Linked DNA regions of Canis lupus familiaris. The protein of the gene in region 1 interacts with the protein of each later gene in a biochemical or structural test. Links are inferred from orthologs where the notes say so. Each region holds a gene or a part of one and is shown in the gene's direction. Other genes may lie near its edges.

Region 1 (4,564 bases):
GTCTCATTAATCTGAATTAGAGTGCCTGGCTGTAGATCTAATTATGAGCAATTTCAGAATCATAATTACTGTTCCATTTGGTCTCTTGATCTGTAATGCACATAAGGATCTACTCTTAGCTTCTAAGGGATTATAAAACAAACAAACAAACAAAACCCAACGTGGTTACTTACTGAAGGCTAGGAGATGTGTTTTGTGAAGCGTCCAGCTCACAGCTTCTCTGTGAAGTGAGGGGAATGGACTGGATGGCCTCGGAGGGCCCTTTCCTGGGTTTTAACAGGCTCTGATTCTGGGAGATTGAATGGAATTGAAAAGAGCCTCTGCCTCTGTGTCAAAAGATATCATTTTAAGTCTCAACTCCCCATCCATACAATTTGATTTATCCAGTCAAAAATCTTTGAACGTCTGAGCGTCAGGTACAGGGGAGGATACAGTAATGAGCAAGACAGACATGGCCCCTGCTCATCCTGTTAAGAAAATCGGAGGACACCTATAATGTGCGGTTGTCCTATGGAAGAAACCCAGCTGGTCCAAGTATGGTGTAAACTACAAAATCTTGCATCCCATCAAAAGATGGTGATCCTGCCAGGATTCCAGTTTCACCAAGTCCAATGACAACAAAATCGTCACCTATTTTGCTGTTTTTTGAGAGAAGCCTGATAGTGTATTTTAACCAAACCTGGTCAACACTGCAGGCAGCTTTCCCGCCCTTCTGTTGCAGTTCCACCTAAATGGGCTGAGGTTATGGGTGCTCACTTCCAGCACTGTACTGTCGCTGGCAAGAGGCCAAGCCCCTAGTCCACTCTCGCAGGCCTGTCAGAAACCCATTAGGCTGAGTCTGGACCTGCGGGTTCTCGGTGGCTCCAAGTCACCAGCCTCGGCCCCTCATCTGTGAAAGGCAGGCCGTATCTGCGAAGAAGCCATCTCCCACGCTACTGGGAAATGCGGATGCGGCCGTGTGTCGTCGGGCCGAGCCTCGCTCGGAGGCCACACTCCAGAGGGCTGGGGAGGGCCCCCTTGGGGCTCCATCTCGAGCCCCGGGCCGCGACTCGGTTGGCAGCAGAGCTGGCGGGGCCAGGCGACTCGGTCCCGGCCCCAGCTCCCGCACCCGCTTGCTGGGTGGCTCCGGGAAGGTCACCTGGCGGCCCTGCCGGCTATAGCCTGCATTCGGCGGGAGGGGTGCACCGTCTCCCGGCCGCCGCGCTCGTCCCTACGGGCTGCCAGCAGCAGACGGAGCGGCCGGGCACCGGGGACCCGGGCAGCAGCCGAGGGCGCCCGGGAGCGCGCGGGGGTCACGTGGGGCGCGCGGGGGCGCGCGGGGGCGCGCGGGGGCGGGGCCTGGCGCACGCGGCTCAGCCGGCGGCGGGGCGCGGGGCGCGGGGCGCGGGGCGGGCGGGAAGGGGCGGGGCCTCGGGCGGGGCCGCCGGGGGGAGGCGGGGAGGCGGGAGGGGAGGAGTGGAGATGGCGGCGGCGGCGGCGGCTCAGGGGGGCGGGGGCGGGGAGCCCCGGGGAGCCGATGGGGTCGGCCCGGGGGTCTCGGGGGAGGTGGAGGTGGTGAAGGGGCAGCCGTTCGACGTGGGCCCGCGCTACACGGAGCTGCACTACATCGGCGAGGGCGCGTACGGCATGGTCAGGTGAGGGGGCGTTCCGGAGGAGGGGGCTCGTGGGGGGGCGCGCGCGAGGGTGAGTGCCCTCGGGCCGGGGCGCTCCCAGGGTCCCGAGGAGGCGGGGGCTTCACGAGGCCGGCGGGGCGTCCCACGGCGCGGCCCTGGGGTGCTCTGGGGGAGCGGCGCCGCCTACGTTCTAAGGGGAGGGGGCTTGGGAGGCCTCAGGAGCGACCATTCTGTAGTGAAGGGAGGGGCATCGGAGTGTCCGCGGGGGAGCCGTGGGGGGACCCTGGGGACTCTGTGGACGCGGGAGGAGGCGGAGACACGAAGTATTCTTGGGGAGGTGATATCAGTGAGGACCGAGTGAAGGACCCTACTCTGGGGAAAGGATGCCTTGGATTCTCCCAGTGAGGCCTGCCAAGGAGCTGGGGAGAGCAGAGCTCAGGGCTGGGCAGGGTGGGGCAGGGCTTTGGGCCTGGGGCCAGGAGCCCGGTGACCCATGAGGGGTCCAGGGGTGCGTTCTTGCAACTTTTAGAAGGGGTCTGTTAGCTCTCTCGTCCCCACTGTGTGCTCTGGGCCTTTGTTCATCTGGGAACAGCTCTCCTGCCCAGGTGCCTGACCCTAACACCTCATCCCTTCTTTCCCATCCCTCCTGACCGCCTCCTTCTCACTGTGCCTCACTGTGCGTCCTGCACTCACCTCCCACTCCCTGGACCTGTCTTGGGTTGAAGGAGCCCAGCCTGGAGAGGGGAGGATGAGAGGTCAGGGCAACTAGAATGGACAGGGCTGAGGAGAGGGGAAGTCAGTGAACGGTCAGTCTCTTCCTCTGTTTGTGAAGTCACCGAAGGGCTGCCTGGCTGGTCCCCAGCTTTCTCCCTGGAGATCCCAGGCCTTCACAGCAGGAAGGAACCAGCATTGTTTATGACTTGGCCAGAGTCCTCTCATGCTCCCTCCCCTCCCTGCTCAGGCCTGGGTAGGGCCACCAGGCCTGGACTCCCCCTATGTAAGGCCACACCAACAACATCTCTCTGACCCTCTCAGCTCAGCTTACGACCACGTGCGCAAGGTTCGCGTGGCCATCAAGAAAATCAGCCCCTTTGAGCATCAGACCTACTGCCAGCGCACACTGAGGGAGATCCAGATCTTGCTGCGCTTCCGCCATGAGAACGTCATTGGCATTCGGGACATTCTGCGGGCGCCCACCCTGGACGCCATGAGGGATGTGTATCCTTCACCTTGGCCAGATGGCTGGCTAGGCATAGCCTCAGAGCCGGGCTGGGAGAACGTTGGCTTTCTTTCTGTTTCCTTCTTTCCTGCCACACTCCAAAACAAACCCAGCAAATGAAACTTTCCAGCAGAAAAGAGACCACAGAGTGTAAGAGGACTGGGAGGCCTGAGGTGAATCCTGGCCTGCTGTAACCAGGCTGTGTGGCCTTGGGCAAGTCTGTGCTCCATGCTGTGCCTCATTTGGGGGGAGGGTGAGAGTTGGGCTCTATGGGAGCTTTGTCTTTTGACATCTGCATTTCTGTGACGTGACCCAGCCTCTGCCCACAGACAGTTCTTGTTTAACAGATGATGATTCTTTCCTCTCTGGGTCTGCAGACTGGAAGGAAGGCAGGAAGGAAGAAAACTGCCCGTTCTGAAGGGCCTACTATGAGTGAGGTGCAGTGCACGCCAAATGCTTTGACACTTCTTATTCTACCTCCCAGCTGCTGTATGAGATGGGTCTCATCAGCTCCATTTCAAAGATGAGAAAACTGAGGCTCAGAAAGCCCCAAATCAGGTGCTGCTGTTGCTGCCTCCTAACCTCCCCCAGATGAGAACTGTCCTTTCTCTGACATTTCCTGCTCAGAGCCTCACCCCAGTCACCTGTGGACTTGCACTTCGCCCAGGGAGGGACAGCCTTGTCTTTGTTGCCCTCCCCCCCCCACATTGCTTCCCTAGCTTGTCGTCCACTTCCTGTCAGGCCCTGTTGTTAGCAGCTTATAGCACCCATCACCTCTCCCCACCCTACCCACCCCCAGCCAGTCCCAGTTCTCCACCCAAATGTGGGGATTTGTGCTGCACTGTCTGCAGCCCCCACCACAAGCTGTGGGCAGGAAATCTCCACACTCGCCACTAGCTTGCTGTGTGACCTTAAGCAAGTCACTGCATCTTGCTGGGCCTCCTCACCTCTCAAACAGCATAATCGGCCCAGGTGTCTTCAGAAGGCTCTTTCAAGGCTGATTCTAAAAGACAGCCCTGACTTATTCTTTCAGAGAGCAACCAAATGGCATTTATTTATTTATTTATTTATTTACTTAACGTATGTTTAATCTTTGTTTTCTCTTAAAATACCAAAGGACATTTACTCTTCCATCTTCTGATGTATGGCCAGGCACTCTTTGAGGAGGAGCATGCTGTTGGGAGTTTCTCCTCATTTGTCTTGCCCAAACCATTCCCCATAAGGCAGGCATTTATTTTTAAGCAAACATTTATTGCATGCCAGATGGTGTTCACACTATCTCATTTAACCCTCTCAACAGCCATGTGGCTTAGGCATTTATCATAGCAACACTAGTTCATGTTTGCTGAGCACTTACAACATGCTAGGCTCTGGACTGGGCCGGCTGGTTTCCATGGGTCACCTCACTGAGTCTTCATAACTGCTTTCCAAAGAGCCACTCTCTCTCCCCTGCTTTCCACATGAGGAAATGGAGGTGCAGATGGGTTGAGGTCATGAGGCCAATGAGCAGTGGAGTGGGGGTTTGGCCACCAGCAAAACAAGTCCAGAGTGGTTGCTCTTAACCGTGAAGCTTTCCTGCTTCCTGCAGTTTATCATCCCTGCTTTTCCCAATAAGGAAACAGAGGCCACGGAATGGAAGTACTTTTGTTCAGGGGGTGCCAGCCGAGAATGCAGCAAGAGGCCCTGAGCCCAACTGCTGAGCTTGGGCCTTGTCCAGCTCATGATATGGGTT
Region 2 (4,445 bases), on another chromosome or scaffold:
CGAGTCGGGCTGTGTTGGGATGGCCCCAGCTCACGCTCCCTCGTCCCTGTCTCTTTCAGGCCGGGTCCTTGTCCACTGCCGGGAAGGTTACAGCCGCTCCCCAACCCTAGTTATCGCGTACCTCATGATGCGGCAGAAGATGGATGTCAAGTCTGCCCTGAGCATCGTGAGGCAGAACCGTGAGATCGGCCCCAACGATGGTTTCCTGGCCCAGCTATGCCAGCTCAATGACAAACTAGTCAAGGAGGGGAAATTGAAACTCTAGGGCACTCCCGCTGCCTCTTCTCTAGCGGCAGACAGGGGAGGCCCTGGTCGAGGTGTCCCAAGCCGCCATGTTTAGGAAACACAGTGTACCCTGCTCCCAGCATCACCAGGCACTTGCCCACAAGTCTGTCCCAACACAGCCCTGGGCCACCTCCCCCCTGGGGAGCGTATAAAGAAGCTTGCTAAGGAAGGCATTTTGCTCTCCGGTGTGTCCCGGGCTTACAGTTTCTGATGTCTTCTCCCTGAGGTGGGGCACGGAGGGGGAAGGCCTGTGACATACATGCTCCTCCTGGATGACCCAAGGCAGGAGGTCTGTGGAAGGATAAGGCTCGAGATGCCCAGTGGGGCCCCTCCTGATGTCCGTGGCCCCCCTGCCTCCCTCTCTGGCTCCCTACGCCCCACCCTGGGGTCCCCTCCTGAGTGGGGACCTCAGCACCTCGAGCCCTGTAAGGGAACTATGCAAACGCAGGCCCCTCTCTCCCCTCCGTGCCTGTCTCCCCCGGCTCCTCCCAGCTGCCCACACTTTGCTCATAGGCAGAGGCGCATTGTGAGGTCTGAAGCTGGTCCCCCGGCCAGCAGTTGTTAGTGGGTGGAAACTCCCATGAAGAGACTGCATCTTAAGTATTTCAGTGGGATTAAAGAGACCCAAACAAAGAGGCCGTCAGGTGGGCAGACATTCCCCTGGAGGACTCCTGTAAGTCCATAGGTTTGTTAAAATGTGAACCTATGGAAGGCTTGCGTTCAGAATTCGCTGCTTTGGAATATTTCCCCTGGACTGCTCTCAGAAGAGCGATGCCTCAGGCGTGGTTTTATTTTATTTTATTTTTTTAGAAAACAGGGTGTTGAAGTTCCAGCCTATTTAAAAACCCCACCATTTGAAGAATTGCAAAGGTTTTGTCCTGAATTATAGCGTTGGTGAGCTCAAGCCACTCGTGCTAACTGCTTTTTGTCTCCGTTGCTATTTCAAGGACAGAAGGAGGGAGTTAGCCAATTCCAATGTGGGTGTGTGGGTGTGTAGGGGGGTGTGTGTCTCAGAAGCACAGCCAGAGGATGGAGGAGCAGGCTCTCACCCCGCCCACTTAGAGGTAGTGCTTTTGGCTCTGCCGTGCCAGGAAAGATCTGGGAGCCCTGGGAGCAAAAATGACTCAGCCAGGCAGAAATGAAACACAGTGGAGCATCCGAATGGAGACTTGGCTGGTGGCAGAGCAAAGAAACCAGAACAACCCTTTTTAGGACTTTTAAAGGATGATGTCAGAATGCACTAGCACTCACGCTCACACGTGCACGCACATTTGTCAGAAAGTAGGAGTTTTGATTGAAACCCAGTCATATTAGGACTTTAGATGATTGTCACCATGGAAAGTGATGCATTCCTATCATCTTCAGGTTCCCTGACGGAGAGGTAGTCCTCAGCCATACCCCCAGCTCTTAGCACGCAGAGGTCTAAAAAAGTTTCCAGAATAAAACACTTCTTTTGAGCACCAGATATTTGCAGGGTGGTATTCTGGTGGGTGTATCAAGCTCCCATAAACCCGAATTCGTGGTAGGATCACTTGCAAGGATTTGCAAAAGGGATTTTACCAGAAGCGAAAAGCCAAGGACTTCTGTTAGGTATATAAAATTCACTTTTAAATTTAAATTCAGGCAGTATTAACCTGTTGAGGTGGGGATTGTGCCTTTTTCAGAGTTGACCAGGGGCTTCTGGCTAGACAGGGAGAAGCAGGGTGCCGCAGGGCCTCCCTCCGAGGTGTAATAGCCTCTCTTGCCGCAGGGTCAGCAGTGCACAGCCTGGACATTCCCCTGCCTCTGTGACCACAGCCACCCCGAACAAACTAGGATCTGTCGTCTCTTCCAGATACCGGACTGCCCACATACACCCCCCTCAATGAAATGGCCATCCTCTGACCTGTGTACCTCACTTCACAGTTCCCAGAGAACTGTCCCATTCACACTCACTTGATCCTTTCAGTAACCCTATCAAGTTGGTAGAGCTTATTCATGTATTGTTACCTTTTAAGAAAAAGAAACTAGGGTTCCAACTGGTTGAAAACATGGTGCCTGGGCTGTCCCAGCTCCAAGTTTGCTGCTCCCTGAAGTTGAATTCCTTGTCCCATACTACTCTCCTCAAGAAAGGAGGCCCCTGGGAGTGTCCAGGTGCACTGCACATGCCCTTGACCCAGCCCGTGTGCACAAAAGCCAGATAACTTTGTGGATGGAGTACAACCAGCCAGGCTGTGGTGAGTAGGAAGGTGACATGTGGCTCTTCCTCCAGGAAACATCCCTAAGTTGGAGCTTTCTGTTCTACTGCTGGAAGAGCCCTAGGGCTAGGGCTCCCCTTCCCACACTTAAGCAGTGGTCACCCCCCAGGGTAGCTGCCACAGCTACTTAGACTAGTTAACCAGGACCTCTTGAAGTCCTTTTTGTGGGGGCAAGAGGGAGGAAAGGCGCTTGGGAGAATTACTGCCTTTACTTTGGGACTACTTTTATGCTGATAACTTGGGATTTCTTGGTAGTCTTTGGTCCCAGAAACCCTATATTTACTTCATGAGATTTAGCTCCTAATTTTTGAGTAAAATAAAATTCTATTGTAAGAGCCAGCACATGCCCAGCTGCGAGTGGAAGCTGTCTCTGGACAGCTTTCTACACCCTGGGAGGTGATGGAATAGGAACTCAGGGTGCCCTTACCCTCTCCCCTGACCTGATCCCTTTCTTTGACTAGCAGACCCCCACTTAGGTGAAATTAGAGCACCAAATGGTTTTCTTCTCAAATCTAAAGCAGTACACTTTCCACAGGCTGGTCTGTTTCCCTGCCACTCTGAGTGATCTGGAGAGCAGAGATCACCATGTGTCAAACAAGGGGACTCCTCTAGAAGACCTCTAAGGTCCCTTTGGCTCTGTAGGGTTCTCTGGAGAATCCCCACCTGGAATTTACCACCACCTGGAAATCATAGGGTATGTAATATGATGACCAGCAGGTGGCACTGTGTTCCACCCGTGGTGATGGTTTGAAAGGGAATGTTGGTGCCTTCTGTGTCACAAGTTAATGTTAAGATGCTAATGTTTTAATCAAAATAAGCACTGATCTTAAAATAGGAAGATAGGAGCTTTCCTCTCGGGAGATTTTGTCATAAGACCGGTGTCAGGACCCGCTGAAGAGCCAACAGTACTGGTCTCGCCAAGTCAAGATTTTATCCTGCTTGGAAATAGAGCCCCTCTCCATTTGAGAGAGCAGAGTGGTTGAAAGCTTAACTTATCTCCTGTCAGCTTTCAGGGCAATTTGATTGTGAAAGCATTGAGTTTTCTGGATAGAAAAGCGGAAGGTATTAAATTGGTTTTAAAGGAAAGTAAGTTTAATGTCTGTTGTATCACAAATCAGTGTTAAAACACTAACTGTAACCAAAATAAATGTCTTACATTACATAGAAGCGGCCTTTTTTATCCTTCTTGTCACAGCTGATTTTCCTTTATGCTCTTATGTTTGCTTTTTTCTAACTTTTAAAAATAGCGTCAACTAAAAATTAGCCCTCCCGAACACGTTCTCAGTTCCATGATGATTATATTTACACGGTAGATGTTGATTAAACATCTTGCCAGTACCAGAAATTTCCCATGACAAGAATAATCTTTTTATTTATTTAATTTCTAAAAAAAAATTGCAGCTTTTTTGAGGGATAATTGACTGGAATATTCTTGAATAGAGAGCCCCATCCTGTTGAGGGAAGTAGATTTATGTTCCTAAGAAAGGAGATACTAGGGATGACAGTCTCATGGTGGCCTCACATGAAGATGATTAGGTTGCATTTTGAGTTTGAATGATCCTGCAAACGGGCAGCCCCCAAACCTAGCCCTGCCCTCAGATGTCTTAAACTCCATTATTATTAGCATTTATCTCCCTTATAATAAGCACTGTTTTTTTTTTTTTTTTTTCTCTGAATAAAAAGACTCAGAGTTCGGTCCCTTTTCTCCCTGACAGAAAAAAAACAAAAAAACAAAAAAACCTCTTTCTTGGGCACCTGGGTGGCTCAGTCCATTAAATGTCTGCCTTAAGCATCTGCCTTCAGTTCAGGTTATGACCTCCAGGCCCTGGGATCAAGTCCCACATTGGGATCCCAGAGGGAGAGGGAGAAGCAGACTCTCCTGAGCAGGGAGCCCGACATGGGGCTCAATCCCTGGACCCTGAG
Region 3 (4,484 bases), on another chromosome or scaffold:
TATTTCAGTTAAACCGCATCACAACGCGGCGAGAGAAGTATCGCTGGATTCCAGTTTTCGTAGGAGCCCCAAAGAAGTCTTGTAACCTGTGTCAGCGAGTTGGAACTCGGGGGAGTTTTGGCCGTAGTTTCTCGTTCTGCACCACCTTGCCTTCCAAATCGCTACGAATACACGGACTCATTTTTGCTTCGATTCTTTACATCACACGAATTTTCTTCTCCTGAATTCGTTTTCCCAGAGGCAATGCGGGGAGCCAGCTGGACTTTAATTCCTGGTAGTAAGAGGCCCCCACGTCGATGTGTAGACACTAAAGCAATTATCCCACTTTAAATAGCAGAGGAGCAAGCCCGGCCCCGGCCCCTGCCCCTGCCCCGGCCCCGGCCCCGGCCCCGGCCCCGGCCCCGGCCTAGAAGCTCGCCCGGCCGTCGCACAGGCCCTGGGACTGACTGGGCTCCGCGGAGTGGGGATGCCGCGGCCGGCGCAGCTCCTGGCCCAGTTGGTAGCTTCGCGGAGACACCCCTGTGAACAAGGCGCGTGAAGGCGCCGGGCCCCTAACACTGTGCTCTCTGCTGCTCCCGCCCGGGGGTGCGAGAGTTCATGAAACTCTTGCTGGGAAGCGGAGCACCCGTTTCTGCCAGAACCGGACCCGCTGAAACCCGAGACTCGGGATGGATCGGAGACGCGAGCGGCCGCGGGGTCCCCCGCCTGCCGACCCCCAGGGAAACTCGGCCTGCGGCGGAGGGCGCGCAGCCCCGCCCCCTCCCCGCCCCTCCCCTCCCTCCCCGCCCCCCTCCCCGCCCCCCGGGGCGCGGCGCCTCGCCGGCTGGCGGGGCTCGGGGCCGAGGGGAAGCCGGACCCCGGGGCGCGGCCGGCGGCGGGCTGCGGCGGAGCACACCCGGGCCTCGCGGGCCCCAGCGGCCGGCGGCGTCGGCGTCCCCGGGGCGGCCCGCAGGGGGGCGCGGCGGCCGGGGGCGTGGCGAGCGCGCGCCGCCCTCTCCCTGCTGCGGCGGGGGCGCGCGGGGCGGGGGGCGCGGGGGCCGGGGGCGCGCGGGGCGGCCGGGCGGGGGCGCGAGGCCGGGGCGGGGGGCGCGGGGGGCCGGGCCGGGCCGGGGGCGCGCGGGGCGGGCGGGGCGGGCAGGTGGGGGCGCGCGGGGGCCGGGGACGCGCGGGGCGGGCGGGCGGGAGCGCGCGGGGCAGCCGGGCCCGCGCCGCGCCGCCTCGTCCTCGCCCCGCGGCCGCCGGGCGCCCCCTCCCCTCCCCTCCCCCTCCCTCCCTCCCCTCCCCCGGAGCTGCGCACCGCCGGCCGGCTGACCCAGCGGCCCGCGCCCGCGCCCTTGTCCGGCCGACCCCGCGGCGGGCTCCAGGCGGCCGGCAGCATGAGCGGCGGCGGCGACGTGGTGTGCACGGGCTGGCTGAGGAAATCGCCCCCCGAGAAGAAGTTGAGGCGCTACGTGAGTGCGAGCGGCGAGCGGGCGCGGCCGCGGGGGGCCGGGGCGCGGGGGCCGGGGCCGGGGTCGGGGTCGGGGCCGGGGGCCCCGGGAGGGGCGGGGCGGGGGCCGGGCTGTCGGGGGCGGAGGGCGGCGGCCGGGCAGGTGGAGGCTGCGGGCTGGGGCTGCGTGGGGCACCTGCACACCTGTCACAGGTGCGCGGCCGAGGGGCGGAGCGGGCGGCCGGGCAGGTGGAGGCTGCGGCTCCCTCTCCGCCGGGCGGCACCTCCCAGCCGGCCTCCCCGTAAACTAAACAGGGTGTTGAAGTTTGCATTGATTGTTTTCGGAGCCCGGGAGAGTTGGTTCCCGGGGCCGGGGGACCGGAGCAAGCCCGGCGGCCCCGGCCTGCGGGGGAGGGGGAGGGGGAGGGGGCGCGGGCGCGGGCGCGGGCGGCCCCACAAAGGGCGAGGCGCCTCACACCCTTTCCCCCTTCCCTGTCTCTGCCCGCCTCTCCCGGGGGCGCCTGCTTCCTCCCAGGGCACAGCCTCTGCATCACGGGCAGCGTCAGCGGCATGTGCAGCGCCTGTATTAAGTGACTCATTTGTTTGTCCCCCGTCTTTCCCTTTATTCTGTATGTCTCTCACATACACCCCCACCCCACCCCACCCCACCCCACCCCACCCCACGGGGGTGACACTGCACTTTGGCCTGGTGCAAGCGGCCGGGGTTTGTGCGGCCTCCGGTGCCCGGGGTCGGGAGAAATCGAGGCGCTCCGTTGCCAGGTGGTGGTAACCGACGGTGTTTACCGAAATTGCTGGGACAGCCTCTCCCTTCTGGGGGAGAAACTGGCGACGTCCGAGGGAAGGTGGTACCGGTACCGTCCGGAGCGGACCGGTGGGAAGCCTGGCCAACCACCACCCCCTCCCCAGGCGGTGCCTCCCGGGGTCAAAGTACAAGATGGTGCTAATTACAAATCAGCCCTGGGCTACTTGCAGACGTTTGGAAGTGGAAGGTCGGTAAAAGGTGTCAAGGTCTCCCCTGGGCGCCCTCTCCACTTCCTATGAAATGCCCTTGTTTCCAGCGACTCTGGGTGCTGGCCTCCCAGGGATCATTCCCACAGCATGAAAGTGAGCTGTGGCCTTCCAGCTGCAGTGCATCAAGGGAGCTCGGAGTAGACCCTGCCCTGCCCTCCCCTCCCCTCCCCTCCCCTCGGTCAGCTGCACCAGGGGCTGTCCGTGGGGGGAGAGGCAGAAGCTTACCAGAGTTTCCTGTCTTGGCTCCCCAGATCAGAACGGAGGGACTTCTGGCCTCTGGATTGAGGAAGTGACATTCTGTTTTTCAAAGGAAGTGTTGTTGGGGAGTGCAAATGTGTGTGTATGTAAATGAAAGCAGGCTCTTATTTAAATCACTTGCTGAGAAGACTCTTAAGAATTTAACAATGACTTTTGAAAGTGGACCGAGATTCAAAACGCAGCACGGAGGAGGCAGTCAAGTGTTCACCCCAGTTCTAAAGCCCACTTTTCGGGGATGCCTGGGAAGCCGAACTCCATACGATTACTAAGAAAGAGATTTTTCCCCTTTTCACAATCAGCTCATTAGGAAACGTGAATTTTTATATAATGTTAAGGATGAGTAATTTGCTATTAATGTTTATATATATATATATATATATTTTTTTTTTTTTTTTTTAATGAAACAAATCTTTGAGCTTCTGAAAACTATTAGCAAAAGTGTACTAACCTACCGACTGGTGGAATAGAGTATCCAGTGAAAATGTGACTGTTAATTTTCAAGTTAGAACACTACCCTAAAGAGCCTTGAAACTGTTTTTGATACAGTTTGCAAACTGTCTGACACCTTATCTGTGTTCAATGACTACTCCAACTCTATCACCCAGACTCTTTATGACCCATTTGTTTGGTATTTTTGTTCTCGAGCAACTTACCTCAGGAAAAAACAAAAACAAAAACAAACAAAAAAACAAGTTTGGAGGCTTTGGAGTCAAGCATCTTTTTCACCCATCTGCAGTACTTGACACCCTACAGTCATAGGATGACCTCAGCCTCTTTCCCATCCTCCTTGTGGCTCTAGCCCATAGACATCTGATCAAGCTAGTAACAGCTTTTCTTAGGCTTCGGGGTGATGTGTTCTATTGGTATGCCTGGAGTCTCCCCTACTGTGGTAGTTCAATTCTCTTAGTTGAAACTGAGCCGATCTACCTAACCCCAGACTCGAGGGGTTAGAGTCTACCCTTACATCTTATTTTCTTTTTGCGAGTGGAGAATTTTTGCGCCTTGTTTTAAGTTAGAACTTTGCCAGTTCCCTGTGTTCATTTAGAGACCCAGATTATTCATTAGAATCAATCTAGGAGGCAAGTAATTTCCAGCTCTGTTGCTAAACACACACCCCAAAATAGCTGCTTATTCTCATGTATACCATAGGTATGTGGTATTATGGATCAATAAGTCTTCATTGTAAGAATATGTCAACCATCAGAGGTAAAGACAAAAGAAGCTGATGAAATGGATTGCAGCTACTTATAGTTAATTTTAAAAACTTCTCTCGAATGTGAGGAGAAGGTAGGTTTAAGGGGGAAAACCATTTAAAAGAAGCCATGGCAAATATTACCTGGGATCAGGTTTAGAGATTTTTTTTCATCATTTTTTTCCAATTAATCATAAGAAAATGTAGGGATCTATTCAGTATTGCTCTGAACATTGGGGTAATTACAAAAAGTGACCTCTGGGAAGTGGTGAGTGTTGCCTCTGGGCCATGGTGATATCTTTGCAGTGCAAGGCCAGCAGAAGGAACAGCCCTCCCATCGTGCTGTAGTATGCCTATATATGAGTGTGTGTGCATACACACACACACACACACGGCTGAAGCCAGATTTTCTCAGAGAAAAACATTTTATGACTTACACTGCTCTGTAATTTTCTATTAGTTTCAATAGATTTAGGGGAAAAGATTGGTAGTAACACTGCCCTCTAGTGACTATTTGGAGAAAATTGTGTACTGGTTCTAATGAACAACTGCACCGAGGAGACTTTATTTTTA
Region 4 (3,871 bases), on another chromosome or scaffold:
CTGACTCAGGGTCCCAGGCTGGTTTCTCCCCCTACTCCATCGACTCCGAGCCAGGAAGCCCTCTGTTGGATGATGCAAAGGTATGAGCTTTTGAAATCCTCTGATCCCTGGAATCTCTCCCATATCTCCTAAGTTAACTGTGGAGAAGCTGCCGATAGGGAGGCAGGCCAGGTGTTGAGAGGACTGGGGCAGGAGAATAGGAATTCTGTGAAATTAGGTCCTACTGTGTCCCCCACAAAATCCACTTAACTGGTTCAGTGTAGTCCAGTTTAACTGGTCCTTGCTGAAAGAGCCCATCTGAGAGGAATAAGGGCCAGATCCAGAATGGGAACACACAGCAGCTGTCATGCGGGTGCTAGGAGTTGCCGGAGGCGCCTCATTACATCCCTCACTCATAATGGGCCTGGCAAGACCATTTTTTGATGTTGCTCGGTTGGTTTAGGGCAAGGCTGCCTCTGGGCCCTCTTCTGGAAATGATTACAGTTTCCAGTCTAACAAATAACATTCCAGCCAAGGGCCTTTCATCGTCAAAGAAAGCCCCTGGCAATTGTGGTTTAATGGAATTAGCCAATAGAGGCTCAAGCCTAATGATCTAGTAGTCCTGGGAACCCGTGGAGGCCACTGGCAATTTCTAACTTCAAAAGCACAAACTTCCCTTCTAGCCTGAGTTTTTGATCAAACTGTTTATAGTATCATGTTCTTAATCTTAGTGACGAAGCTCTGTTTGTGAAATACTTTGTAAATGTGATTCTGTTTGGTAACAGAAGGCCATATGATGTATACATTGAATTAGCTAGGCATCTGTCATCAGAAGAAATTTTCAGATGGCTTTAAAATACTGAAAAGGAGTGGTGTAGTATGTGCACACTGGAAGTTGGGAGAGATCTGGCTCCAGCCTTCCTCCCTGCCTCTCTCTCTGGGCACCCTGGGCAGACAGGGCTCCTTTCTCCAGTCCTCCCTCTGTAGGACGGGGATGGGAAGAAAAGCAGCCTCCTGGTTTTACCACAGGCAAACTCCTGTAAATAGATCCATACTGAAGTTGTATGGTTTTTTGTTTTGTTTTGTTTTGTTTCTTTTTTGGTAAAAATTTTGTTTATTTGAGAGAGAGAGAAGAGACCATGAGAGAGAGTAGAGTACACGCAAGTTGCAGGGAGAGGCAGAAGCCGACTCCCCACTGCGCAGGGAGCCTGACATAGGGCTCAGTCCCAGGACCCTGAGATCATGATCTGAGCTGAAGGCAGACGCTCAACTGACTGAGCCACTCAGGCACCCCAGTTGTATGGTCTTTAATCAGGTCTGTTGGTGTTTAATTTACATGAGATAAAACCCCTATTTTACAGTAGCATGAAGTAGTGGCATACAGTATGAGGAGTTTTGAAAAGCAAGGGTATACACATATATAACTATCACTATAATCAAGATATAGAACACTTCCATCACCCACAGAGCTCCTTCATACACCATGGCAGTTAGTTCCCACACCCCTCTCCAGCCTCAGACAGCTATTGCTCTGATTGCCGTCACTTTAGATTAGATTAGCTTGCCTGTTATGGAATTAAACAGAAACAGAAGAGCAGCCCCGGTGGCTCAGCAGTTTAGCACTACCTTCAGTCCAGGGCATGATCCTGGAGACCCAGGATCGAGTCCCATGTCGGGCTCCCTGCATGAAGCCTGCTTCTCCCTCTGCCTGTGTCTCTGCCTGTGTGTGTGTGTGTGTGTGTGTGTGTGTGTGTGTGTGTGTGTGTGTGTGTGTGACTATCATAAATACATAAAAATTTTTTTAAAAACTTAAAAAAAAAAAGATATTGAACATTTATTAAAAAAAAAAACAAACAGAAACAGAATCCTGCAGAACGTTCTCTTTTGTGCTCTCCTTTATAAACAGGACTCCTCTCCCTCTGGTCTTCGGAACATATTCTTTTCCCAGGTGGCAAGAGGATGAGCGTTCCAGTGTCTGAGAAGCAGTCGGAGGGAGAGCTATGGGCTTCTTACCTGTGTCCCATGCTTTTCCTGTCTGACTTTGGTTTTTTTGTTTGTTTGTTTGTTTTTAAGATTTATTTATTCATGAGAGAGAGAGAGAGAGAGAGAACGAGGCACAGACACAGGGAGAGGGAGAAGCAGGCTCCATGAAGGGAGCCTGATGTGGGACTCGATCCCCGGTCTCCAGGATCACACCCTGGGCTAAGGCAGTGAGTGCTAAACCGCTGAGCCACCCAGGCTGCCCTCCCGTCTGACTTTGTAGTCTCAAGTTTAAATCTCATGGTCTGCCTCCAGTTCATATAAAAGCAAAATGCTATAAAAACCCATGCAGTATTTAATTCCAACCTCTTGGCCCTGTTTTGAAGGTCAAAGATGAGCCAGACTCTCCTCCCGTGGCGCTGGGCATGGTGGACCGCTCTCGGATTCTGCTCTGTGTGCTCACCTTCCTCTGCCTCTCCTTTAACCCCCTGACTGCCCTGTTGCAGTGGGGAGGGGCCCACAGCTCTGACCAGCACCCATATTCCGGCTCTGGCCGCAGCATCCTGTCACTTGAGTCAGGTAGGCAGAGGACCCCTTGTACCACCCAAGCGTGGGTGGGCAGCTGTGACAGGAGATGGGCCCTATGTGTACAAACTGCTCAGCTTATCCACCAGGTTCCAAAGGGCTTTTGTAGCAGGCCTGATAGGGACTGGCATAAGTCCCTATTTGGAAGTAACAGGGCACACCCAAGCTCCGTCAGTAAGAACAGAAGAAATCAGGAACCTACACTTCTATTATTATAGGGGTTGGGGATAAGGGAAGGGAGGGTACCTATTTGAAGGAGATGTGATATTTTTGTCCGAGTCATGAAATCAGTGGTCTAATCAAACCCACCTTGATTGACGGTGATTTTTGCTATCTTTGTTATCTAGCTATGGTACCTAGTTCCATAGTGATAGGGGCTACGGGGCTCCTATTTAGGCTACAGAACTGTTCCAGATTTGCCTATTGTGTGGATTAAGGTTATGTCTTATTCTTATGGAAAGCATTTAGACATTGTTACTAAATGAAGCAATCTTGTTACACACACTTCTGAAAATGAGGTAGAAGGCTTCTAACCTGTTAAATGCTGGGGGTTAGTCAGATGCCCTGCAGTCCCCTAGGGCTGCTCTAGGAGGCCGTTCCTCATGGGCTCAGTGGAGACCTTCCTTTTTAGGTTCTGGGGGCTGGTTTGATTGGATGATGCCAACGCTTCTCTTATGGCTGATAAATGGTGTGATTGTCCTGAGCGTCTTTGTGAAGCTGCTGGTCCATGGAGAGCCAGTGATCCGGCCACATTCACGCTCCTCAGTCACCTTCTGGAGACACCGGAAGCAGGCCGACCTGGACCTCGCCAGGGTAAGTTCTGCAGCTGATAACTCAGCAACTTATATCGAATACCCTGGTATATAAATATGCCCTGTGGTAGGTGCTTGTGGGTGATAAGAGTAGGAAGGGACCTGGCCCCTGATGGTCATAGGCAGCAGAGGAGAGGACTTCTATGTGTAAATTATTGCATGAACACGAGATAATCAATTTATAGTCTGGGTTATGACAGAGGAAAAGTAAAGTTCTACGGGAGTTCAGACAGAAGGGACGAGTTCTGGTCAAGAGGATCTGGGGCTTGAGCCACACGGTCAGAAGCAGGAAGGACCTTCTAGGTGGAGAAGTCATGAATAGATGGGGTACTTGGAGACCAGCAGGTAGACAGGTATGTCCAGAGTGCAGGATATATCTGGGACAAATGAGGTCTCAGGCTGATATTGTATCTCTGGCCCAAATTGGAGTTAGTAGTCGAAGTAACTGGGCTTTTTTCCCAGTTCTCTGGAGAAATCCAGGAAGGTTTTTGAGCAGAAAAATTAGCTGAAAGTTT
Region 5 (4,612 bases), on another chromosome or scaffold:
CAGTTCTTGAAGTGATGAGGAAAAATCATCTTCATGAGCCTAAGTGTGGCCCACTCGGCCCTTTCTTGTTTCTTTTCTCCAGGCTCAGCGACAGCCTCACCAAGGACTCCATGAATATCAAGGCCCATATCCACATGTTGCTAGAGGTGAGAGTACCTCACCCCATTCCCAGACTCTGTCTCCAAATGTATTCAGGGTGGTGTGACCCGACGAAGGGAGAGAGCCAGGGATGGGAAGGACCATTTTCCTCTCTAAGCAGGAACCAGGCTGGCTCTGAGGGAGGGGAGGTCAGAGCAAGCCTGGGCTGAGGCCTAGACAATCTCTGTTCAATCTCTTCTATCCTTTTTTTCAGGGGCTTAGAGAACTACAAGGCCTGCAGAATTTCCCGGAGACACCTCACTATTGACTTCTTCCCGCCTCCGTAGACATTAAAGAGCCTGAATGCCTTTGAGTCACATGGCCCTTCTTTCCCCACCTCAACCCTTTGCTGTTTGCTAAGGTGCCCTGTTTCTAAAGCACAAAGTTACCAGGAACCCCAGAGAGCCAGTCTCTATGTGGAACCTTTAAAGCACCCCTGAAGTCCCGCCTCCAGCCTGTTGCCTGGCAGCATTTGCCACTTGACTTTCTGCACTGCCCTCTTTTCTGTCGCCTTGGAAACCTGGGCCTCCCACCTGACCCTTTTATCTTCCTGGACGTAACTGTCTTAATCATAGAGAATGGGCTGATTCAGGGTGGAGGTTTGTTCCCAAGACAATCAGCCTTTCATTCCTGGCCCTAAAGTTTGCCCCTCTCCCCCACCCTAATCATTACTGGGGTACCTTAGATTACACCCACGCCCGTCTCATTCCAACCTTGGCCTCACCCGGCTTCTAACTAATTTCAGCTTCCACCAATGGGCGCAGAGCCTGATCCCGCCCTACCCCGGCCGGCCCCTATTTTAGGTTGAGTCTAGCTTCCGCCAATCATTGCAGAGCCAGGTTCCGCCCCCTTATAACTGGCTGAGGCTCAACGCTGACCTCCTCGTAGGCTTTAGTTTCCGCCACTCAACGCTCCTTTGCGTGCCTGGCCGCTGTCCAACCCTATCTCTGCTCTGTCCTAAACTCGTCTTTTCTACCCAATCACGATAGAGTTATCCTCCCACCTACGCACAGTCCTGGCCCGACCCCCTCCCAGCCTGCCGCTACGCCCACTTCCATATAAGTCCCGCTTCCGCTGAGCAGCGTGGAGTGCAGCACCGCCCAGTTGGTGTTTTGGCAGCTGTCTGGAGTCCCTAGTCCGCCAATCAGTAGAAAGCAGAGTCCATCCGCCCCTATCCTCGGAGGCCGTCTTCCATGCAGGCCAATTATTATCAGGCAGGCGCCCCCAGAATCTTGTCAATCGCCCACAGGCTGTCAGCCTTGGGCCAATCAGCGTGAAGCGCCAGCGGGGCCCAGCACGCCCCCTCGGAACCCAGGCGGCTATCTGCGTTCCATCAGTTCTCCTCGGGCCAATCATGGCCTAGCTCTGCGGGGCAGGGCCCGCCTCCCCAACCCTGGAAGCCGCGCGGTCGAGCCAAGGCGCTGTGTCCAATCAACCAGCCGCGGAATGCTCGGCTCCTCCTCCAGGGGCCCACGTGAGCCGTGAGGAAACGCAGGGGCGGCTTCTAGGTGCCGCCGCCGCCGCCGCCGCCACCGCCGCCACCGCCGCCACCGCCACCTCGGAGCCCGGGCCTGGGGGGCGGTGGGGCTGCGCATGGAGCCCCCGCCCCCCGGAGCTGCCAATACTGCCACTGCGCTACACACAGGTGAGCCCGGGGCCTGGAGGGTGGAGGGCCCGTCCGTGACCCCACGTATCCTTCCCGCCCCCGCGCGAGGGATGTGGCTTGGCCCATGGCCTGCTGGTGTTCAACTGCCCACCGCCACCGCCACGGCTGGTGGACCTGCCTGTGGTATTGTCCCCTCCCTTCGCCCCTTGTAGTCGATCTGACCGTGGCCTGACCCCCCTTCCTGTTTTATAATGGATCGGTCTGCGTGCTTATAGTTCTCCCCACCCCACCTTACAGTGGACTCGTCCGTGGTCCTGCCCCGCCCCCACCCCCACTTAGAGGGGAGCAGCCTCGGGCATTGTCCCTCCTTGACAGAAGGTGCATCTGACTGTTTATTTTCTCCTGTCCTCAACTTTCAAGGGCCCCGTCTGTGGCCTTGTAGTTCTGTTCCTTGTAGTGAATCAGTCCATGGCGTGTTGCACCCCCCCCGCACCCCCTTTAACAGTGAGTTAATCTGTGAAGTTGTATTCCTGCCTCCTCCAGTCCCCCAGTGCATCAGTCCCATGGTTTTATCTTTTACAGTGTATCGGTCTGAATGCTAGTATCCACATCCCTTGTCGTTATCAGCCCATTGCCCTAGCCTCTTTTTTTTTTTTTTTTTTCAGACTGTTTCTCCAGCCCTTGGGCTTCTCTCTTCCTTTTAATAGTGGGTCAGTTTCGTGTTTTTGAACTCCCCATTTTCAGTAGCTCATTCCATGGCCTTGTTCCCTTCTCCTTTTAATGAGTCCGTGTGATGGCATTTCACCCCATCTACTCTTGTGCAGAGTAGATGCCTTTCTGCTCCCCTTGCCCCCCATAAAGAAGATGAGCCTTTGCACTCCCCTCCACCCCCGCCTTTGCAGTGGATCTGTTCATTGGCCTTCTTGTTCCCCATGTGCTTGCATCCAGGCACACACCCCCATACCCTCCCCTGAGTCCAGTGCTTTGTAATCTCTTCTCCAGGAGGGTGCTTTTATTTTGTCCCTCCTTTCCTTGTGGTGGATCAGTCCATGGCCTTCCCTGCTTCCTCTCTTCTTAATGGTGGATCATCCTGTGTGCTTGTTGAACCTGGCTCTTTTTTACTCTAGAACACATCCCCCTCGTACACATCATTAATCCCTAAGACATTCTGCCTCACTGCAATAAACGGATGCATTCAAGATAGCGATAATGCCATTAGGAGCTAACGTTTATTGAGCACCTACTAGGTACCTGGCAAAGTGCTTTATATCCATGACCTCATTTCGTCCTCACCACAATCCTGTGAGACAGGTACTCAGGAAAGTTCGGCACAAGGGGCTCAATACGTTATTCAGAGGTAAGTACCCAGTTAGGTTGCCCCTCAGAACACAGAATAATTTTTGAGGATCCCCTTTCTCACTTCATCCCATGCCACATGAGACCCCACTCCTTAAAAAACAAAGCACCTCCCGTCTCCAAGCTTTTGTTTTTGCTAGTTTCCCCCCCGCCTGCAGAGCTGTCTCCATTCCACACTTTTTCTCAGCACCCATCCACCCGCAATCGCAGCAGCCATATGATCTGAGTGATTTAACCACTTTCTCTCCGCACCTGCTTCCTCATTTGTAAAATGGAGGCATCAAAACCAGAATCCCCTCCAGTGTGAACATATCTGAGAGTTAATAAGACAAGTAACCTCTCTGGCTGCACCTCCTGCACCTTGTCCCTCCGACTCTGTTCCAGCCATACAAAGCTCCTCACTCATCCTCAAATCAAACACGCCAGATACAGCCCAGCCTGAGGGCCTGTGCATTGGCTATATTTTCTACCTGGAATAACGTCGTTCCCCTGATCTGTATGTGAGTCCTTTCAGAGCTCTATTCAAATGTCAGCCTGCCCCTGATCATCTGAACCTACATACTTAACAGGACTCAGGTTCCTTCTCTGCAGTAGTGGTCCCCTTTGCCCTTCATCACTATCAGACACACTGTGTAGTTTACCAGTTCACTGTCCCTCCCCATTAGAACAGTCAGTCCAATGAGGGTTTAGTTTTTTTGTCTGCTTATTTACTGCTGGGTAAATATACTTAGTATATACTAGGTGCTCAATAAGAATTTGTTGCATGCATGAAGGTGAAAAATATTATTTCAGACAAATCAGGGTGCAAGGGGAGGGAAGGGTTGGAGATGAAGAGGGTATACGAAAACTAGCTAAAGAAACTAGTTGGGACTGTTCGTTCAGCAAACACTTAGCACCTACTGAGTACCAGGCACTCTTCTAGGTGCTGGGGATATGGGAAGGAACAGAACAGGCAGAAATTCCTGCCCTTGTGGAGCAGACGTTTGCTAAAAGTGGGGGAGACGGACTATATAAATAAAACAGTAAGTAAAATTAGATAGTATGTTAGGCGCTAAGGAGGAAAGTGAAGTCGGGAAGACAGGGAGAGAGTACGGGAGTGATTGAAATCTTGGGCACTGGGCAGGCCTCACTTAGAAGGTGACCCTTGAGTTAAGGCCTGAAGGAGATCAGGGAGGAAGACAAAATATCTAGGGGAAGAGTGTTCTGGAGGTGGAAGGAACAGCCAGTGCAAAGGCCCTGAGGTGGGACTGTGCCTAGTGCATTCAAGAAACGTGAAGGAGGCCAGTGTGGCTGGAGCAGAGCAGAGGGCGGGAGGGAGGCAGGCAGGCAGGCAGGCAAGCAAGCAGGAGGCAAGGTCAGAGCGGTGATGGGACCCAGATGGTATAGGCCATGGTGATACATAAGGTTGGAGGCTGGTGGGAGGGTGAAGGCTGATAGACAAGCTAAGAGCTAACTAACATTTGTCGAGTGCCTACCACATGCCAGAGATACTTTTCTAAGTCCTTTATATAT
Region 6 (3,871 bases), on another chromosome or scaffold:
TAAACAAACAAGCAAGCAAAAAAAAATAATAACCCTCCTGCTGTTTGCTTTGTTTCCTTGGGTGTTCATTCTGCTGGTTCTGGTGGCTGTCATGAGTTTGGCTTTCTTCGACTATTTTCTTTATTCTTTTCTTCCCCTGATGATCATCTTTATATTCCACTGTGGTTTTCTTTTTCTCTACTGGTTAACTTACTTTAAAAAAAAAAGTTTAGAACTGATATTTATCAGAGTCAAAAGTAAAACAGTCGGGCCCCTAGGAGGCTCAGTCGGCTAGGCAATCTGCCTTTGGCTCAGGTCATGATCCCAGAGTCCTGGGATCGAGCCCCCAAGTCAGGCTCCCTGCTTGGTGGGGAGTCTGCTTCTCCCTCTGCCACTCCCCCTGCTTGTAATCTGTCTGTCTGTCTCTCTCTCTGTCAAATAAATAAAATCTTTTAAAAAAAGTAAAACAGTTATCTCCCACCTACTCAAGATCAGAACTTTTGCATGGGTTTCATTGCTCGATTCCAAGGTGTTTTTCTTGGATTTCAAGAATCTATATCAGTTGCATCAATTTTCACTACCACATTATCAGCACTTTTTAAAATGTGACTAAGTTGGTTTAGATTCATTGCTTACCGCTATTCCTTGCATTTCTCTGAAGAAAGATAAAAACTGTTGCCTTAAATTCTTAAACAGGGGCAGCCCCGGTGGCCCAGTGGTTTAGCACTGCCTTCAGCCCAGGGCCTGATCCTGGAGACCCGGGATCCCACATCGGGCTCCCTGCATGGAGCCTGCTCCTCCCTCTGCCTGTGTCTCTGCCTCTCTGTGTGTCTGTCATGAATAAATAAATAAAATCTTTAAAAAGTTTTTAAAAAATTCTTAAACAAGACAGGGAGTGAACAGATGGATGGATGGAGGAAAGATTATTCATTTTGATTGCCCTCATCAGAATTAAGCCCTCCTACAGCCTCCTGCTGGGCTTTCTATCAGAACATAGACCTTCGTGCCTTTTCAGGGTCTGTTCTGTGTCTCTCTGGTGTATCCTCTGTCCTCACTGCCCTGAGTGCTCAGTGTCTCACCTACAAAATACAAGTAGTAGAGGTGCCCTGTAAGGTACTGGAGAGAAGGAAGGGCCCCTTCACTGGCCTCAGGAAGCCTCAGCCACCACCCCCACACATATACAGAAACAAATTTCATGCCCCCTAAGCCCTAGCCCTCAAGGTTCCCCACATCCTTCAGGGGAAGCACTAGGCTCTCCAGCCTTGCCTGCTCTTTTCTACGTTAGCTGGCTCCTACCAGCTAAGAGCCGTATGCCTCCCTTGGGTCTCAAACATCACAGAATCTGTCCTGCTATCACCACCTTGGTCACGGGGGCCCGTGGGGCAGGCTGGTATGATTTTGAGTCCCCTGCTGGGTCAGAAGACCTTGGGGACTGGGCTAGATCCCATCACTGTCAGGGTCTCCCAAGCTAGCACTGAGGAGAGTACCAAGTGGGTTTTTTTTCTTTTAAGATTTTATTTATTTATTCATGGGAGACAGAGAGGCAGAGACATACACAGAGGTAAAAGCAGGTTCCCTGCAGGGAGCCTTATGTGGGACTTGATCCCAGGACGCTGGGATCACCCCCTGAGGTCCTTTTTTTAAAAAAAATTATATTTATTTATTCATGAGAGACAGAGAAAGAAAGGCAGAGGATACCTGTGTTTTTGCCAGTGAGAAAGTGCACGAATGAGTGAAGTGATGGAGAAACAGGAACATTCGTGAATGGGAGGGTGGATAAGTTGGTGACTAAATAGAATGAATGGATGTGAGAGTTAAGGAGTTAGTGGGGAAATGGATGAGAGAATGAATGAGTGGCCAAGTCAGCTGGGTGCTGTGGGTTGGGGTGTCTGGGGCATTGACTCTCAACTGCCCCCACCTCTTTTTTCCCCCCTCCCTGCCTCCAGCGTCCTCTATTTCTCCATCCACCGCTATGAGCAGGGTCGGTTCTGGCCCCACCTGAAGGCCTCTAACTGGTCCACCATAGGTTTTGGCCAAGGCCAGGGATATACCATCAATGTGCCTTGGAACCAGGTCAGCGTCTGCCCGCCCTACACCCCCAAAGTCAGGCCCCACCCTGCCCTTCAGCCCGTTTCGGGGCAGAGGGCAGAATGTCTCCATTGTGCTGCTCTGTCTGCAGGTGGGGATGCGAGATGCTGACTACATTGCTGCTTTCCTGCGCCTCCTTCTGCCAGTCGCCCTTGAGGTCCTGGGGGTCTGGGGTGTGTTGGGACAGGAACAATGTTGAGGGATGGGCCGTGAGGGCAAGTGGCCTCATGTAGTCCCTTTCCCCCTCAGTTCCAGCCCCAGCTGGTCCTGGTGGCCGCTGGATTTGATGCCCTCCAAGGGGACCCCAAGGTAAGGTGGGCTGCCTGGGATGGTACGTGGGCAGAAGGGGGCTGCACCGAGCCAGGCTGATCCTCCACACACATCCCACACCCCCTACCCCCACCCAGGGTGAGATGGCCACCACTCCGGCAGGGTTCGCTCAGCTAACCCACCTGCTCATGGGTCTGGCAGGAGGCAAGCTGATCCTATCTCTGGAGGTGAGTGACTCCCTTCAAGTCTCAGCCCGTCTATGGATCCATCCAGGAGGACATTAGAACAAAGCTTTCAGGTTAGGCAGGAGTCTGTCCCAGCCCTTCTGCTTACTAGCTGGACCACCTCATCTAAGTCACTGAACTTACTTGTACCCCCACTTGCCTTGTGCAAAATGGGCATCATAACTATGGTGATTGCCTCCCTGCACTGTTTGGTGAACGAAATGGAAGTCAGCCTTCATTTTCCTTGTTGCTTGCTGTGTAGTCAGCACCCTAGTAGCATTACTGCTGTTCTTCCTTCATAATGCGTGGCTCTTTCCTGATCCCCGCCCCCCACACTCCTTTCCCAGGGCGGCTACAACCTCCGCGCCCTGGCTGAAGGTGTCAGCGCCTCACTCCACACCCTTCTGGGAGACCCTTGCCCCATCCTGGAGTCTCCCAGTGCCCCCTGCCCAAGGTGAGCACCCTAGTGGAGGGTGGAGGAGGAGAAAAGTGGGACCCGTACTGCCTGCCCACTGGCCATCTGATCACATTTCCCCTCCCCTGCCCTCTAGTGCCCAGGCGTCACTCTTCTGCGCCCTGGAAGCCCTGGAGCCCTTCTGGGAGGTCCTTGTGAGATCAGGTAGGAGGCAGGGAGGGGGCTAGGTGGGGAGTCAAGCATGAAATGAGCCCTTGAGAGAGACTCTCCCAGACCCTGCATGACTTTTCCTGGTAGGGGAGCGTCAGGCCCTCTCTCGCCTTGGACCCTGGTTTCAGGCCTCTCACCTCTTTTATGTTTGGGTAAACTGAGTTCCAGAGCATTACAGGGATCTGAGGTCCGGGGAGTAGAGTAAACGGCCTCCCTTTACAGCTGAGGCCCTGGAGGAGGACATCCTGGAGGAGGAAAAGGCGGAGAAGGAAGAGGAGAGACCGTGGCAGCCCTCAGTGCTCCCAGTTCTGACGTGGCCCATGCTGCAGGCTCGCACAGGGCTGGTCTATGACCAGCGGATGATGGGTCACTACAACTTGTGGGACAAGTATGCAGTTGGAGGGCCACTGGCTAAATGGACAGGGACATTCCTCCCACCTTTCTGAAGCACTAAGCCCTGTCTCTGTTCCTTGCCCACCCCCACCCCAAACCCAGCCATCACCCAGAGATGCCTCAGCGAGTCTTTCGGATCATGCGCCGTTTGGAAGAGCTGGGCCTTGCGGGGCGCTGCCTTACCTTGCCCACACGTCCTGCCACGGACGCTGAGCTGCTTACCTGCCACAGGTCAGACCTCCCTCCACCCCCCCCCCACTACTGCCCTGGTGGAGGGGATGGAAGCACCAGA
Region 7 (3,871 bases), on another chromosome or scaffold:
AAAAAAAAGAGAGAGGGGGTGGGGGGCAGAGACACAGGCAGAGGGAGAAGCAGGCTCCATGCAGGGAGCCCAGTGTGATACTCCATCCCGGGTCTCCAGGATCACGCCCTGGGCTGAAGACGGCGCTAAACCACTGAGCCACCGGGGCTGCCCCCAACAGACAGTCTTAAAAATCCTTGGCTATTATTGGCTAATATTTACTTTTCTCTTAAGGCTTGGGAACAGAGACCTCATTAGACATGTTCTTTTTTTTTTTTTTTTTTCATTAGACATGTTCTTGATGGTGTCAGTACTTAGTAGGCTTCTCTTAACCTCTGCAGGAAAGTTGATGCTGGTTTATATTCTCAGGAATTCTTTCTGGGCCTGAAAGTTTGGTATACTTTTTGAGGAGTGTGTGTTTCAAATGAAGTAATAGCCCTGTGACATTTGGTAAGGTTGAAATTTTTATTTAGCTTAGATGTCAGTACCCTTAGCCACGTGTTATAGCTGCAAATTTAGCTTTCTCTCTCTTTCTTTAAGCTGGAAAGAACTAAAAATATAAAGAAAAGACGGGAAGCTCTTTTTAAATCGAAAAGAAGCAAAAATTTATAAACGAGATCCTCTGTTGCTTTTCTGATCTGGAGATGTAATTTTTTGGCTGGTGAGGGCCACAGAAGCTTGACCTCCTGGAGCCCATGGTTTGAAGTGACCACCTGCCTAGCATAGCACCTTCTGCACATGGAACAAGCAAACCAAACCAGGGGTTTTCAGTAGGTTTTTAAAGCCAGGAAGCAATTTCTTTTTTTTTTTTTTTTTTAGCAATTTCTTTAAATAATAAAATCTTGCCCAGAAGCCCAATAAGTGAAAAGAACTGGAGAGAGAGGAGCAACGGGGGTGGGTGTCATAGGTACCTTCAAAAAAACTCTTGGAGCTCCTCAGAGAAGAGTTTTTGAGGCAAAAAAACAAAAACAAAAACAAAAACAAAACTCTTATGATAGAGGCTTGCTATATTATGAAAGAGAGAAGAACAGGAGGAGAGGGCAGGGAGAAGATAAAGAGAGTGAAGGAGGAAAAAGAAGACTTTAGCAATGGCGATGGAGATCAGGTTACACAGGATTGGTGGCTATAGGAAAGTGGAGGTGGAGAGGGAGCAAGAAGCTCCCAGGAGCTGAGTGTCCTCCCTCTACCTGAGGGAGGACCTACCTCCCTGGGACAAGGCTTTGTTCATCAGCTACTATTTATTGAGCACATACTATGTGCTCAGTTGCTCTTTATACATTGTACTGTCTTCACACTAACCCCAAGGGCCACAGTGAAAAACTGTAATGCCAAGGAGTTGGGATTCTTCGAGGGCTCAGTTCTTGAGCATGAAGTGGTAGGAACCCAGGGGGCCTGGCTTCAGAGTACTAGGCAACTCTGAAGCTGGCAATAGTTGGTTACCCCAGGTCCTTTCGCTGACTACTTTTTTGGTGTTACATTTCTTTCCAAAAGAAAAAGGACACAGGAGTGATCCCATTTAGAAATCTTGGCGCCCAAGATGTTTGATGTGAAGAGTAGACTTCAGGAGGGGATTAACTTGCTTTAGAGCCAGCCACACCTTCCACTTCAGCCCTGCAGACCTCAGGCAGGGATTTACTGAATCCCCAACATTGCTGGTGGTACATGTGCTCAGAGCTGGAGCCTTGGGTTCTGATTTCCCTGACGCCACCAGTGATGTGTGTTCTTGAGCCAGTCACTCCGCCTCTCTGTGTTTCTACCTTGCCCTCTCTAGAATGAAGGGAGCAGACATCATGTTGGCTGAAATGTCTGGTTTATGTCACAGCCAGCCAAATAAAGTGATGAAAAGAGTGGTGGGGGGTAGATGGGAGACATTCTGAAGAACCCCTTTGGGGTTGGAATACAGGGATGAGCTCCTCAGTTGAAATGTCCGGGTGCTATGAAATGATACGATTTGTATTATCTTGACTTGAGACCTTTAGAAGTAGCAAACTATCACTTTGTGTGGAGCTTTGCTCCCAATGCCCAAAACAAAGATGATTCAATGCTGCTGTTTGACAGTTTTGAAAACTGTTTCGAAGAGTGTCAAATCACTGTTGAAGTGAATGTTGAGGGGAGTGGGACAGACCCTCAAAATCTTTGGCTCCTAGGTGTCTTCTTTTCTCCATAATGCTATATATATTTGTTCCTGCTGTGAAATGATGAAATTGCACTGGACCCTGATATCAAGAAAATATTCTTAACGGGTCATATGGAAAAATATCAGTGACCCCAGTCATTCTTTGTGAGGAGTGACTGCAAATGTCTTATTCCATCAATGCCCATTGTGTGTTTTTAAAATAGAACCAAGTCCAGTTTCTGGTCTTCATCTTGCCCTCCTGGGTTTCACGCAAGCTACTCTTACCTGGAAGAATGCCAATGGCACTGCCACCTGTCGGCTGCTCCTTGAAAGCATCGGAAGTAGTAAGGATTTGACGCAAGACTCAGTGGTCAATATCTCAGGCCTGATACCAGGAACTCGAAACAAGTTCACCTTGTCTTTCTCAGACCCGAATGAACAGAGAGAGTCCTCGGTTATAAATAGTAGCTTAGGTGAGTTTACAAAAGTGTGCTTCTTATCTGCCTTGCTGGCTTTGCCTTTCAGTAACATCATAGTTTGAAGAAATATCATTCTTCTATTTGTCCAGGATTTTAGAATTTATAGAGAGGGCTTTCCTTCACATTTTGGTGCGACCCTACATTTGTATGAAGAAGGTGGGGTATGTTCTTCTTTTACAGGTCAGATCATTGGGGTTCAGAACGGTAATGGGGGTTGGAACTTTTTGAGTCTGGCATCCCAGAGAGGAGCTGGCCCCTTTAGCTTTATGAACTTTCAGCAGAATGAATAACAGATGTGTTAATTCGAGTAGGGCTATGGGAGGAACTTGCCACATCCATTGAGAAAAGGGATGCTTAGCAAGTACTTCTAGCAGACATCTACTGCATTGCCAATGGAGTGGCCATTTGCAGATGTTAAGCATTTTCAGAGGGAACCTGGTGAATTGAGAAGAACCTAATCCCCATTTTACACATAAGGAAACAGCTATACAGTGGGTGTTAGGATTCTTGACTGCAAGTGACAGAAGCCAAACTTTTAAAAAAAGGGATTTTCTTTATTTATTCATGAGAGACAGAGAGAGAGAAAAGAGAGGTAGAGACTTAGGCAGAGGGAGAAGCAGGCTCCCCTGTGGGGAGGCCCAGTGTGGGACTCCATCCCAGGACCCTGGGATCGCGACCTGAGCTAAAGGCAGATGCTCAACCACTGAGCCACCAGGTACCTCTAGAAGCCAGACTTTAAGTAGTTTGGGCCAGAAGAGCAACTTATTGGCTTGTACCTATTTTCCCACAGTGGACAGTAAGGCCTGTAGGAAGGAGATGAGGTGACTCCCATGTCCTCTTCCTCCTTCTTTCTGTACCAGCCTCATTCTCAGAGCAGCTCCTTCCACTCACCTCAGGGAGAAACCTAGCAATAGGTTCCCCATTTTACCCTCTATCAGAAGGGGTATGGCCCAGGGGAGAAATTCCTAGAGCGGGCTCTGATCAGCTAGGTTTGAGTCATGTGGCTGTCCCTGGATGACCATGTTTAGAGTTGGGTGGGAGAAGATTTCCTGAAAGAAGGGGAAGAGCGGAAAAGAGCTGAGCTGGAAAGAGAAGCACAGATATCTGGTGGTACCTGGGATAAAAGTAGAAAGTAAAATATCTGCCAAAAATTGAGGCCTTTTGAGGAGGATGTTGTATCTCTCTCGGGGGAAGGAAGGGAAGAATTTGTGGAGTACTAGCTGTGGGCACTGCCTGATGCGTCCTCTTGTCAGGGAGGCGCTTTTGATTGAAGTTAATGTATTTGACTCTTGTGTTT

Evidence for each region.
Region 2: of the proteins of MAPK3 (region 1) and DUSP3, one has a biochemical effect on the other in vitro, tested with the Homo sapiens proteins (2 studies listed by BioGRID and IntAct). The link is inferred for Canis lupus familiaris from reciprocal best matches to the Homo sapiens genes MAPK3 and DUSP3.
Region 3: of the proteins of MAPK3 (region 1) and GAB2, one has a biochemical effect on the other in vitro, tested with the Homo sapiens proteins (2 studies listed by BioGRID). The link is inferred for Canis lupus familiaris from reciprocal best matches to the Homo sapiens genes MAPK3 and GAB2.
Region 4: of the proteins of MAPK3 (region 1) and SREBF2, one has a biochemical effect on the other in vitro, tested with the Homo sapiens proteins (2 studies listed by BioGRID). The link is inferred for Canis lupus familiaris from reciprocal best matches to the Homo sapiens genes MAPK3 and SREBF2.
Region 5: of the proteins of MAPK3 (region 1) and ELK1, one has a biochemical effect on the other in vitro, tested with the Homo sapiens proteins (6 studies listed by BioGRID and IntAct, with this or other methods). The link is inferred for Canis lupus familiaris from reciprocal best matches to the Homo sapiens genes MAPK3 and ELK1.
Region 6: the proteins of MAPK3 (region 1) and HDAC6 form a complex in vitro, tested with the Homo sapiens proteins (2 studies listed by BioGRID, with this or other methods). The link is inferred for Canis lupus familiaris from reciprocal best matches to the Homo sapiens genes MAPK3 and HDAC6.
Region 7: of the proteins of MAPK3 (region 1) and PTPRJ, one has a biochemical effect on the other in vitro, tested with the Homo sapiens proteins (2 studies listed by IntAct, with this or other methods). The link is inferred for Canis lupus familiaris from reciprocal best matches to the Homo sapiens genes MAPK3 and PTPRJ.

Annotation. Positions count from the first base shown.
Region 1 is NC_049227.1:18,278,486-18,283,049, reverse strand, and holds the start of MAPK3 (mitogen-activated protein kinase 3), read left to right. Parts: upstream 1-1,447; 5' UTR 1,448-1,461; coding exon 1,462-1,634; intron 1,635-2,648; coding exon 2,649-2,831; intron 2,832-4,564.
Region 2 is NC_049230.1:19,403,220-19,407,664, forward strand, and holds the end of DUSP3 (dual specificity protein phosphatase 3), read left to right. Parts: intron 1-59; coding exon 60-265; 3' UTR 266-3,689; downstream 3,690-4,445. UniProt on the Homo sapiens protein: Shows activity both for tyrosine-protein phosphate and serine-protein phosphate, but displays a strong preference toward phosphotyrosines. Specifically dephosphorylates and inactivates ERK1 and ERK2.
Region 3 is NC_049242.1:20,532,529-20,537,012, forward strand, and holds the start of GAB2 (GRB2-associated-binding protein 2), read left to right. Parts: upstream 1-1,313; 5' UTR 1,314-1,376; coding exon 1,377-1,451; intron 1,452-2,108; exon of another isoform or gene 2,109-2,439; intron 2,440-2,686; exon of another isoform or gene 2,687-4,484. UniProt on the Homo sapiens protein: Adapter protein which acts downstream of several membrane receptors including cytokine, antigen, hormone, cell matrix and growth factor receptors to regulate multiple signaling pathways.
Region 4 is NC_049231.1:24,434,429-24,438,299, reverse strand, and holds part of SREBF2 (sterol regulatory element-binding protein 2), read left to right. Parts: coding exon 1-80; intron 81-2,345; coding exon 2,346-2,538; intron 2,539-3,175; coding exon 3,176-3,357; intron 3,358-3,871.
Region 5 is NC_049260.1:41,470,077-41,474,688, reverse strand, and holds the start of ELK1 (ETS domain-containing protein Elk-1), read left to right. Parts: upstream 1-1,633; 5' UTR 1,634-1,783; intron 1,784-4,612. Other genes in the region: protein UXT, read left to right, coding at 83-146, 353-406. UniProt on the Homo sapiens protein: Transcription factor that binds to purine-rich DNA sequences. Forms a ternary complex with SRF and the ETS and SRF motifs of the serum response element (SRE) on the promoter region of immediate early genes such as FOS and IER2.
Region 6 is NC_049260.1:42,219,430-42,223,300, forward strand, and holds part of HDAC6 (histone deacetylase 6), read left to right. Parts: intron 1-1,925; coding exon 1,926-2,052; intron 2,053-2,158; coding exon 2,159-2,224; intron 2,225-2,316; coding exon 2,317-2,376; intron 2,377-2,474; coding exon 2,475-2,564; intron 2,565-2,908; coding exon 2,909-3,015; intron 3,016-3,112; coding exon 3,113-3,180; intron 3,181-3,408; coding exon 3,409-3,574; intron 3,575-3,681; coding exon 3,682-3,810; intron 3,811-3,871.
Region 7 is NC_049239.1:42,054,576-42,058,446, reverse strand, and holds part of PTPRJ (receptor-type tyrosine-protein phosphatase eta), read left to right. Parts: intron 1-2,319; coding exon 2,320-2,568; intron 2,569-3,871. UniProt on the Homo sapiens protein: Tyrosine phosphatase which dephosphorylates or contributes to the dephosphorylation of CTNND1, FLT3, PDGFRB, MET, KDR, LYN, SRC, MAPK1, MAPK3, EGFR, TJP1, OCLN, PIK3R1 and PIK3R2. Plays a role in cell adhesion, migration, proliferation and differentiation.